Linked DNA regions of Caenorhabditis elegans. The protein of the gene in region 1 interacts with the protein of each later gene in a pairwise test. Each region holds a gene or a part of one and is shown on either strand. Other genes may lie near its edges.

What was found. Proteins that work in one complex are often made in the same cells at the same time.
Region 2: the proteins of gsp-2 (region 1) and H18N23.2 interact in a two-hybrid assay, tested with the Caenorhabditis elegans proteins (one large-scale study listed by BioGRID).

What each region holds. Positions count from the first base shown.
Region 1 is NC_003281.10:7,334,647-7,339,820, reverse strand, and holds gsp-2 (Serine/threonine-protein phosphatase PP1-beta), read right to left. Parts: upstream 3,235-5,174; 5' UTR 3,199-3,234; coding exon 3,147-3,198; intron 3,091-3,146; coding exon 2,959-3,090; intron 2,833-2,958; coding exon 2,602-2,832; intron 2,544-2,601; coding exon 2,329-2,543; intron 2,280-2,328; coding exon 2,166-2,279; intron 2,119-2,165; coding exon 1,984-2,118; intron 1,930-1,983; exon of another isoform or gene 1,819-1,929; intron 1,755-1,818; coding exon 1,632-1,754; 3' UTR 1,056-1,631; downstream 1-1,055. Other genes in the region: kap-1 (Kinesin-associated protein), read right to left, coding at 1-167, 614-686, 751-820; F56C9.10 (BCAS3 WD40 domain-containing protein), read left to right, coding at 4,704-4,823. UniProt on the Caenorhabditis elegans protein: Serine/threonine-protein phosphatase essential for chromosomal dynamics during meiosis and mitosis. During meiosis, promotes chromosomal cohesion and germline immortality via a small RNA-mediated genome silencing pathway.
Region 2 is NC_003284.9:17,623,049-17,630,518, forward strand, and holds H18N23.2 (Protein phosphatase 1 regulatory subunit), read right to left. Parts: upstream 5,199-7,470; coding exon 5,134-5,198; intron 4,928-5,133; coding exon 4,804-4,927; intron 3,588-4,803; coding exon 3,482-3,587; intron 2,560-3,481; coding exon 2,219-2,559; intron 1,724-2,218; coding exon 1,502-1,723; intron 1,454-1,501; coding exon 1,308-1,453; intron 871-1,307; coding exon 768-870; downstream 1-767.

The sequences.
Region 1 (5,174 bases):
AACTTCTTGATCTCGCACTTATTCGTTGATTTCCTCTTTTTTGAATGTAGAACAAAACCTGCTCCAATTGACTTCGTGACGTGGCAGGAATGAAAAGACATTTTTGAAGAATAACATTTGATAAAGCACGAATATCTACATCCAGACTCATTTCTTTCAAGTGGATTCTGTAATACAATTTGGGTAATTTTGTAGCCGTACAATGTTAGATGCAGGTGACATTTTGAGGTTCTCATATATATATATATTCGATTATTATTTTTTATCAGTTATTTTCCAATATTCTAAAAATTAAAGAGGCATGGATTCATGGGGAATGGGTCTCACAGCGAGCAAAATGCTCAAGTCAACACTTTTTGCTATTTTCGGTCGTGCGTTTTCTGTTATTCGGGGTTTTGTGAGCAATTATTAAATAACTTTTCTGTATCTTGATTGTGGTTTTTGCAACAGAAAAAATTTAAAGTGTTACCATAAACATTTTTCGCGGTGAGACCCATCCGAAAGAATACGTGCACCTTCGTGGGCATACGGTCTTAAAAATATTTTATTTTATTTTTCTTGTTAAGCAGATTTGCATTCCAGTTTAATTTTATATTTTATATCAGATTCTTACATTTTTTGATGGCCAAGAGACTCAACGTTCGCTGAAGAAGCTCGCTTTTTTATTGAAATTCCTGCTGAAGAACCTGAATCAAACTTCCAAATAATCTTCGTAACACATTCAATTGAAAATAAAAATATAAAACTTACTAGGAGATTGTTCAAATCGTACAATAATTGCCTGATCTGACGGGTGTGCATCTATTGAAACTTGATTCATTGAGCTAAACACGGAAAATCAATCGAAAAAACTCAAAAAATATTTCTCTTCATTCTGATTACCTATTATAGCTTACTGAAGAGCCGGGGCGGAGCATTTCTGAATAACTGACAAACGACAGAAATCGATGAGACGGCTCGAGGAGCACTAGTCGTGGGGGATGTCTGTTCGTCTCGCACGCTCTCCTTGGAGACGTTGCACTCGTTGTAATAAGAAATATTGCTTACACGCTTGTACCAGTGTTCTATTTTATTTGTTCGGAAAACTTTAATGAATTAAATCGACAAATGGGGGTTTTAACAATATAAAATTGAGAAACGAAGAGTACGGGATGGACGAATGAATGGAGGAAGGAAAGGAGTGGAGATTGATTGACATCATAAACATTTGTTTTAAATATTTAGACCATTTAGAGAAGTAAAATTTGATACTGTTTTAAGAGATAAGTTTAGCAAAAAAAATTAAAATTTGGAATTTAAAAACGAATAAAATGGGGATTGTTTTGATGAAAAATTGAGCCAGCAATTGGTGAGGAGTCATTAGCTCTAAATGGTCCACAGAGATAAAGAGGAAGGGATGTTGACAACGAAAGCTTGAATTGAGAGGAGATTCGCCGGGACCACAGCATCTTCTCGTGCCAGCCTAGATCATAATGAATCGAATTTAAACTTTTTCGAAACTATGTTTAAAATCAAAATTAATGTACACAACTTTTTGAAGCCGATTTACGAGAGATGGCCGAGGCCTCTTGGGGCGTGAACAACAAAGAAAAGGTTAGGTATTTACAGATGATAGATAAATCGACTGATGATTACTTCTTGGCACCCTTCTTTGGTTGCGCAGCCGGTGCGTTTCGTGGTGGGGTGACTGGTCTATTTGAACCAACTCCTCCAGCACCATATGGATATTTCTTCTTGTCTGCTGGTTTCAAGATCTGAAAAAAATATTCCGAATTGTTTTATTTTAATGTTTGATAGGTAGTTTTAGCGTTTAATAAATCACCTCAGACAAATGCCTCAATTTCACCCCGCTTAGCGGCAATTTCTTCGAAGAACTCGAATAGATAGCCAAAATAGACTCGTCTGATTTAACCATTGCATCATTGGTGAATGCATACGCATTATCAGTATTTAAAATTATATAGATGGTACCGCTATGTTTACCTGGAAAGAGCACATCAGTGTTTCATCGACAGTCATCATCGATCCCGCGTTATCAAACTCTCCACAATAATTAGGAGCGCTGAACAATGTAACCAACTGCCGCTTAGCGAAGAATTCGTAACCGTCTTCCACAACCTGAAAATTTCTCGGTTCGCAACTTTGCAGAAAATCTTAAGTAATACCTGGTGAGCTCTGCAAATCAAATCCAAATCGTGCTTGTGCAGGAATTTGGCAACAACTTCTGGTCCGAAAGTGAAAGAGACGCCTCGGTCGTTTTCTCCCCAGCCAGTGACATCCTGAAAATAAATGGTAATCATTCATTGAATTTTATGTTCACAAACGAACTTTATCAGGATCTGACCACAACAGATCGCACAACAATCCTTGATCTGGTACGTCTGTCGGCCTCATGATACGACGAATTTGCTCCATAGACTGAAGATCTGGAGAAAGTCCTCCGTGACAGCAGAAGATCTTTTCGTCGATGATGGCGGCAACTGGCAGGCAGTTAAAGCAATCGGTGAACGTCTTCCACAGTTTGATGTTGTATCGCCGCTTGCCTAAAAACATGAGATTTGAATAAATCTGTACTAAGATAATCTCAGATCAAACTCTTACACTCGTCATAGAAGCCATAAATTCTGTTGATCGAGGCACACTCGTGGTTTCCTCGGAGCAGGAAGAAATTTTCCGGGTACTTGATTTTATATGCAAGTAGGAGACAGATAGTTTCCAACGATTGTTTCCCTCGGTCCACATAATCGCCGAGGAACAAGTAGTTCGACTCTGGGGGGAATCCACCATACTCGAACAGTCTCAAAAGATCGTAGTATTGTCCGTGCACGTCACCTGAAAAATATATTTTCTCAGAATATATATTATCAAAAATAAAAACGGCAATTTCCTGTGGAAGGAAATACTAATAAGTAAAATGACTCATAGCAGGAAACGTCAACTTTTTTCGATAGAACTTACCGCAAATTTTCAACGGAGCTTCCAACTCGAGAAGAATAGGTTGGCTCAGAAAAATTTCACGAGACTTCTGGCACAACCCCTTGATCTCGCTCTCTGTGAGTTGAACATTTTTCCCTGGTTTGGATCCTCTGACTGAAGCGGAAATCATTTTAAGATTAATTTCAATAAACACTATGACAAACACATACCTTCCAATAATCTGGAGATGATATTGTCCAGATTAAGCTTTTCTACGTCCATTTGTTGCGAGAAATCGCTCAAACAACCCAATTAGATCTGCAATACGAATAGAATTACCTCTTTGAGATAATGTCAATCAACAAACGTGAAAATACGGAAAATTTAGAAAGAAAGTTTGATAATTACGTCTTTAAATCGCGTGATTACTCGAAAAGTTGATAAAAACAGCAGCAAACATGTCAAAAATCGAAAGATATTTGGAGGCGACAGGGTCAAAACGAATGAAAAGAGTGGCGGGTCTCGCCGCGAAAATGCCGCATTCAGCAGGGTACGGTGGCCGGTGGAGCGCTTTTACATGTTCTCATTTTTTCTGAATTTATCCGCTAATTTAATGATTTTGAATCTGTTTTTCTACATTTTTTCTTCTTGTTAAAATTAAAAAAAAGGGGACGTTCAAATTTTCAGAACTTCATTAGTATTGAATTGAAAAAGAGCGCGCGAAAAGGATTAACTTGGTTAGAGGGCTTTGAAAGTTGAATTTTACATTGAGGAAAATATTTCTACCATTATTTAGAAGATAAAGCTTAAAGTTTCTCTTTTCCCTGAAATTTTCACTATTTGTCAAAAACGGGGCACATATAATCGAATGATGCGCCAATTCGTCACTTTGTTTTCGACCAAGATGGCAGAGAAATTGGTTGGTGGTGAGAGATTGAAATGTGTAAATATAACAAATACACTGTTCTTCGTTCACGATTTGTCAGCAATTATGATCAGATGCAAAAACATGGGGAACAAGATGCATTAAATCTTATTAAGTGAAAGTTTAATAGATGAAAACGTAGTTATAAGAAGTTTATTTAGCATATTTTGATAAAACTTTTACTTATGAATCATTTTGAAATATGAGATTATTATAGTACTCAAAAGTTATATATTATTTAGCTAGAAATATATGAACACTTTGGTACTTCTGCATCCATGAATTCGTTCAGAAAATATATTGAAGCATTAGTTAGAAAATGAGCAGTGAGCATTTAAAAAAATCGATTGATGTCTAGTCAAGTTCAATAAGAAATAAGAAAAAAGAAAAATAGTTGGAGTGAGAAAAATCAGCAAAAAAGATGCGAGAAGTGTGGTGCTCATGGAAGCCTTCTTCTCCATCCTCCTCACAACTCCCTCCATTTCTCTGCGTCGCCTGTTCCCTCTAGTCCCTCGTGACCAACTGCAGTTTCTGTCGTTTTCTCCCCATGTCATGTCTAGCACACGTGAGAAGTGAAAAGAGAGAAAGAGAAGGGCATGATTTCGATTCTTCTGCCGCTTTTCTGTCACTGGTAACAATGCACCTTTGTCGGATCAGACACTCATAGATCGTTGATCTACCTGAAAGTTTGAGAAAAACAAAATCTCTGTTGTTTTATCTTCTCACATCTTCCTATTGATTATTTTTTCTCTTTTTTTTGTTGTCCTCTCTTCTCATTCGTTCTATCCTATCTGTTCCTGTTTGTGTTCTGTTCTTCACCACATTTTCTGAACAAATCGATAATCTGCACAGTTCGAAGAAGATGCCGCCAAACGCGAACTCTGTTGGGGGCCCGAAAAAGAAGAACAAGAAGAATCATCAACGCCCTCAACAGCAACATCAACAAACACAGCCACAACCGCTACCAGAAGAGGAACAGCCGGTAAAGTGTTACTTCATAATGATTTTTCAAAACTAAAAGTTAAAAAAATCGAATTTCAAAAAATCTCCTTTAAAAAACCGTTTAACGGATTTTTCCGTTTTCTAAAGCGCTGCAAACATCGAAACTATGCAATTATTTTCAAAGATAGATAAAATCTTAATAGATTCGGAACGCTAACGAATGTTTTTCTTATAGTACTACCCAGACGCGAAAATTCGTGCCAAAAAACGGTACTGGGTCTGGACACGACAAGTTTTTGTTGAATGTGAGCCTTTAAATAGTACTGTAATTCCAAACTTTCGATGTGTGGAGTTTACATAAATTTTTTATAGTTTTTCTTACAAATTCGAT
Region 2 (7,470 bases), on another chromosome or scaffold:
AGATTCACATGAACAAATATTTGATATTCATCACATTGGGTTGGGCGGGGGCGGGGCGGGTGTTTTTTGTTTTGTGTAATTTTTTCGACCGTTTTTCTTTTACCGATTGCAAATAATGGGAGGAGGAGGGGCGAAGTTTTTGCACCTTTTGGATGTTGTGATAGGCGCTTTGAAATGATTAGGACATGGTAACAAAGACAACGATCTCAGAGAGAAAAAGTGTGGCGGGAAGTGGTGATGAGGGCGAGGTGTCTATACCGGATTATTTGTACCCTATGCGGAGGTGAACCAAACAATAATGGCAAGCTGGGGAAGGCGAAATGCTCTTTCAAATGAGGGGGCTTATAGACATAAGGGTAAGCTTCCCTATCTACCCTATTTAAGAGAAAAAAAAACGTTTTGAGCTACTACGATGGCGGAAAATCTCTATATGGCAATTAGCACACACACGAGGAGGCACACGCATTTTTGAAGATGAATCAAATGAAAAGATTAAGTCGTGAAGGGGGTTTCTAATTCAAATTTTTAAGAAATCTGGCTAAGCGAGATGATGAAATAGAGAAGAGAAATAGCAAGAAAGAAACCGAAGAAGAAAAAGAAGAAGAGAGTAATAAAATGAACTGATCTCCTATACCCGGGCACTTTGAAATCGTACCAGTAGTAGTAGTAGAAACAAAAGTGGGTATATGTGTTGGGAGGTGGGGATGTGGGATAATGAAGGAGGATGAAAAAGGCAAATATTGATATATGTATATGGGGGAGCAAAACTACCAGTACGGACCATCGGTGCTAAGCGCCTTCCAAGAGGCGAATTTTCCCCAATCGTTGTAGTCGAGCTTGTAGGCGTCATCTCGGTCGAGATATTTTGAACTGGAAAATCAATGTTCATATATTTTTATTTTCGAAATAGAAATCAACTTTTTTGCACTTTGGGTGTCTTTCAGCTTATCAAAAAAAATTCAGTTTACAAAATCTTCATACTTATTTTTGTTACGTTTTAATTTTAAGTAAAACGTTAAAAATTGATCAAGATAGAAGCAGTCTTCTGATATCAGGAGCTAAAATTGAGAAGTAAACAGACAACACTTTTTGCTCACTTTGTAATTTGAGTAGCACCAGTTAATTCGGTTGGAATACAACTACAGAATATGCGGTCTGAAAGGCTTTTAATAGGCTTTTGATTGATGATCTTTTGTACCAAAGGTAAGCTACTTATGCAATGAAAGTTGCTAACAGGGCCTCACAAACAATTTTAAACTCAATGCAAATTTAGAAAATCAATAATTTTTCAATTATACAATTCTCACCTGCCGAACAACGACGCGCGACGTTGTTGTGGAACGGCAGGATGCTGTTGCTGCTCGCAGTGCAACACGTAGTTTGTACCCGAGTTAGAGTCCCAGTATTCGGTGCCGTTCGCTTTGAAACAAATGCAAAACTCAATTTGGTGGATCTGTAACTGCAAGTTTCGAAACTAAAATACTTAAGAAAATGAGCACACCTTCTCCACAGAAGAGGGCAGGTCAAGGTCGAATTTGAAAGTGTCCTGAATTTTGCTGGTGGATGGTTGGTATATCGCCGCTTTATCCATATACGAAATCCAGCCATTCATTGTGTATCGCACAAAAACGCTCTTCTCAAATGCAATATTGCCCACTTTGATTGTTCCCATCACTTTGTATGCTTCATTGTTTAAGATCACATTTTCCAGCGACACTTTGTTCTGTAAGGAAAAATTCAAGTTTGAATATAAGTAAAAATAATATATAAGTGGTTTATTAAAAAGTTTTGAGTCAAAAGGTTTATACAAATCAAAGAAAATTAACATTTCAGATATAACAAATGTTTTGGCACCAGTGTATTCAGCATTAAGATCAATGATTGTCTAAAATAGTAAGATCATTCTCGAAATACGGTGATCAAATTCACAAAATTCAAAAAACTTACTTGTTTGCCAAAGAATTCACTAACTTTTGATATACGAGTTTTCGACAATTTTTGCTACCTCCCGTTGAGCTTTGATCACACTAATATTTTTCTGAACATGACAGCAAGCTGTCTCTCTTCAACTATATTTTTTAATGTAGAAAATCAGAATGTTTTTGAATTTTATCTATGGTGCCCCTACATTTTTTAAATCGATTTTAGTGCTACTTTGAAAAACAATTCCTATTTACTATCATAACGCGAATTCCAAAAAATTAAAAATAAAACTAACAGTTTCCATGTTTTCCCGAAAACGAACATAATCCGCTGCAGGCTGTTTAAACATCAGATTCCAGACAGGAGCCGGCTCGCGAGTAGTCATCTCCTCTTCTTCGAACGATTCTCCCCGATAGCGACGGAGCACAGAAGGACTCAGCTTCGGTGGGCAATTGCTGGGCTCCGTCGCCACGCGGACCATGTAGAGCTCATGTCCGCAGTCGTCGGCAAATCGTACCGATTTGCGCAACTTCTCTTCCTCTTTCAATTCGAGAGGCCCCGCACAGAAGAGCTCCAAATCGTCGACCTCGCATTCGCTGCTCGATGAACTGTGCGATTGGTAGTCGCTTCCTTCATCTGGAACTATGAAACATTATCAAAAAAAAAGTAATAAAACGGATCTTTTAAATCTTTTAAATTCCTCATGGAAGCTTACTCGTAGGCTGACGCATAATCAATGAGCCTATTTTAAGAAACTAGAAATATGTATGTCTGTGAATCTAAAGAAGGCCAACAATATCCGGACTCCACCTTTTTCATACCCCACTGTCTAGAAAAAGATGATAAACTAGGAAGCAAGTTTCTTCAGTTCCGTACAGTGTCAGGTATACGGTAGGCAAATGCAATAAGTACATTTGCAAGTTGATTTTGTTATCAAAATCAATTTGTCTTTTTGTTGCAAACAGAGCGTTCACAAACCATAAAATTGACTATGTGTCTGTAAACAAGTCGATAAATACTATTCTTTTGTAGAGTTACGTGCAAGGGTAACGATTTGGGCTGAAAGTCTACAAGCTCAAAAGCTTATATGTCTAGATGTCTAGAGACCTAGAATCGTAGAAGGCCCGAAGATTCAAAGTCTCGGCAGTTTGGCTTCAAGTATGCGGCTAAGCCTAAGCTCTAGTTAGCGGGAGCCTAGTGGGAGCCTTTAGCATAAGCCTAACTCTAAACCTAAGCCTAAGCTAAAGCCTCAACTAAAGCCAAAACCTGAGCCTACGTCTAAGCCTAGTACCCAAAGCTTAAAGATCAGGATCAAAATTGAGTTATCGTACACACTATATACAATGCAAAAGCAATGTAACAAATTTTGATCTGTGCGTTCTTCGTCTGCCTGACAAAATCTATTTGGGTGTACTGTAGACTACATCATAGTCCACTCCGGCAAACTTCTTACAATAGCTGTTGCAGGACAAATATAAAATCTATTTATAGCGAATTAAGAGTGATTTGGAACGACATGAAATTAACAAAAAGTTCCAATTACACAATCAAATTATACCTTTCTCCTTAATTGTCGATTCGGACAGACGTTTGCGAACCGTTTCCAAGTTCATCTGTGTCAATCGCATCTTGTTTAAGGCTTCCGACTCGCTCTTGGAGCGGACCTGAAAAAAAGAAAATTGATAGATTTTCTTGTCTTTTTTGTTTTTTTTTGCTGCATGGAAATGTAAAATCAAAGGGTGAAAGAGAGTCATTGTTTATGGCAAGTTAAATGAAGACTAGTGCATGGCTATCTCTGACGATAAAAGCTACCGTAAACCAGTCTCCAATCACGATAAACATTCTCGCATTGGGCACGTTGAAAGTTCAATTTCAAAAGCAAAATGTGATGTCGATAGTGATCTTTTGAACTTTGACTAGTGAAAATGCTGGGAGTTGTTGATTATTGCAGGGAGGATGGGGAATGAAAGTATAGAAAAAAGTAACAAGAAGGCGATTTTTTCACAATTTTTGAACTTTGTTGAATAAAATCATTTTAAAACTTTTTATTGTTAAAAATAAACATTTTTCGCTCTGCTTAATCAAAACGTTTTCAATTAAATGAAAATTCACAAACATCTGTTTCTGGACCACATTTTACAAAATTGGAAAATAACTGAAGTGGGCAGTTAAAAAAAAAGTGAGAAAAAACAACATCTATGAAGTTCAATCTTGTCCAATTCGTTATCAAATTAAAACTTCGTTCCAGAATCAAAGTAAATTTCAAATTGAAAATGACAACTGCGTATTTAAAGCTCTAAGACTTGAAAGAAGTATATCTTTAAAGAACTTCCGTTTTACACAGAGGCCAAAAGTTCAAGATTAGACGAATCCGTATCGAAAACAATAATTTTGATCATTTGAACTTTGATTTTCAAAAATGGCGAAAAGACTAAACTTTTCTTCATCTTATTTCTTACATTTTCGCAGTGTGTGTTGTGCCTTGTTTTTTTTCTCTTCACCCGAAGCCCTCAGGCTTCATCTTTACTCTGCGTCTCTGATCATCTATGTTTTTGATGCGCTCTCCCCGCACCCATCACATCGTCACGGCTCCCCACTTACATTTCTCGCCCATCTAACTCTGGCCCGTATTCGGTTTTTGCACGTCGCCAGCTTAAAAAGTGCATTTTAGTTCGGCACGGCGATATTCAAGGAACCAGGGGGACTCGGACAACATTTTCTGGCTTTTTTTAATGGAAAAACCAATTCTGGCAGAGAGAAAAGTGTTTTCAATTAACATGCTTGCTTTTTTCAGAAAATCAATGTTCATAAGCTTGAATTTGTTTACTTTTCGAGAGAAAACCACTCAATTCTAGAAGTTCTTTTAGCAATTAAACACACCTTCAAACTGGATGCCTGTATTATTGAGGAGTCGCCGACAAAGGGGAAGCTTGCGGCTCGGCGGCAGCCCGGCGATGTGGAGAGGACGCAGCATTCTCGTTCGCGCCCCATTTCCATCGGCGCCCTGGAAATAATTTCAGGTGATTCAGTGTCACTTCAACTATTACTAGGAGCAGCAATGCTTTGAAATAGAAAAGTATAAAGCAGAAAACCTTCTGGAAGAGCAAAAAAATAATGTTGACAGAAAATAAGAAGAACTAGGTAAAGCATTAAAGATCGCTCACACAATAACAAACAATAGTCGGAGAGGGGGGCCCACTGCAAACGAACCTAGTCAATCGAAACTTGATCTCCTGAATCACACCGTCTAAATCTTCAAAACTGTCGATGAGCATGGAAAGTGAGAAGCCCATTTTCTACATACGGCGACCGCAGTGTGAGGAGATGGGGGACCCTCGTAAAAAAGTTTTGTCTACTCGGGAGAAAAGGAGGGGGGGGGGGGGGCCTAGAAGGACTTATCAAGAGGAGCAGCAACGTGCAGTTAAAATAGGAAAAAAGGGAAAAAGATGGACAGACTCTGAATCAATCTGTTGGCGCGACGACACATGGGGAGCAGGGCGGCTGCGGGGGCCTTTGGGCTCTTGGCTCCGTCGTTGCTTCTTCTTTCTGCTCATGCTCACGTACACACATTCACTCCGACTCTCTATATCTCTCTCACTTGGTAGAGGAGTAGGAGCACGCAGCGAGCAAAAGGGAAAAGTCTTTATCTTATTTCTTTCTTCTCGATTTCTTTTCTTGTTTTTTATTCTTCTCATCGGTACTTTTCTGACAAGTCTGGAAAATATTGGGTAGTGGGAGCAACTGTTCCAAGAGAAGTGAAATGTGTACTTGGTTTTGAGACTTTTTTAAAGGTATCACGTTCTTTCTCGACTACACGTCACTTTCCGTCATGAGCAAAAAAGTCAATTAACGTCATGAGCGTTCCAACAGAACGCGTTTGCATAAATTGCCTAACCTACCTCACATCTAAAATGCCTTCAGAGTTCCAAAGCTTAACTATTGAATAAAAAGTTACCGATTTAGAGTGAAACTAAAAATTGCTACCAAAAAAATAACCTATTTATCAGAGATACAAGGCTAGGCCTCAAGATACGCCCTCTCAATCAAAAAGATGGAGATTTATAACGAACCCGGACCACGTGGAAAATTTTTCTCATCATATTCACTTTCAAAAAAACGACTTTCAGAAACAAAACATTTTCCACAGAAAAATAATCAAAAAATGGGAATTTTCAGCAAGTGCAGACTATTTGGAATATGGTTCTTCTTCACTATATTTTTAGTTTGATGCTTTGCAAACACAATGTCTATGTATGCCCTCAGTGCAAAATCTCGTTAAAATAGGAAAACAATGAATTGGGCCAAATTCCAAAAGTCAACGATCTGCCAAGTGCACTGACCAACAATCGTTACCCGAAAAAAATTGTGAGAAAAGTCACATACGCAGAAAACTTATCAAAAAAAATATAATCAGCATGAAACTTTCTTCGAATAACAGTTATTACTAGAGGACTGGGATTGACAGAAAACATCAAGTTCAAGTTGGAAATTGAAAAGTTGAACAGATTTCGTATAGGGTGAAAGACAACAAAAAATTTAGGTACTTTTCCTTTTCTACCCCGCAATTTTTAGAGTATTGGAAGCATTGAATTATTCAAATTTAATTCACGTGAATGTTTATTTAAATATTTTTTTATTTATTTTTAGACTTAGAAAGCAACATTACTAAGCCTAAACTACAGAAAAAGGTCACGTTTTTATTAAAGAAAATGTTGCAGAAGAAATTCGGGGTAGAAAAAGAATAGTACCAAAATTTAGTTTGTATTTCGCAACAACTCACAATTTATAGGTGGACTACACCCTGTGAGAAAATTGCTTTAAAACACGCCTATGGGATCACAATGACCGAATATCTTGATAAAAAAATTTTAAAAAAATTTCTAGATTTTATATGATTTTTTGAAAATTGAAAAAATCTCAGTTTTCCCCTAATTATATTTGAATTTCTGCCAATTGAATTCGTTCGTTGGAGCGCGCTTGCATTAGTTTCATTAATTATTTTTATTTATTTTCATTATTTCACTGATTTTCTCCTTTTTTTGGGGGTTTTTCATCGGAAAATGAAAAAAATAAACAAGAAAAATGGAAAATGTTTATTAAAAAGTAACTGAAAATGCCTAAAACTCTGAATAATGCCAATTTCAGTATCGTCGTCGTCGGATCGCATATTTCTAGAGTTTTAGGCATTTTCAGTTACTTTTTAATAAACATTTTCCATTTTTCTTGTTTATGTCTTTTATTTTTCAATGAAAAACCCCCAAAAAATGGAGAAAATCAGTGAAATAATGAAAATAAATAAAAATAATTAACGAAAATAATGCAAGCGCGCTCCAACGAACGAATTCAATTGGCGGAATTTCAAATATAATTAGGGGAAAACTGAGATTTTTTCAATTTTCAAAAAATCATATAAAATCTAGAAAATTTTTTAAAAATTTTTTTATCAAGATATTCGGTCATTGTGACCCCTTTGGCGTGTTTTAAAGCAATTTTCCCACAGGGTGTAGTCCACCTTTAAGTGAAATAAAAATATGTGATTATTTTAAA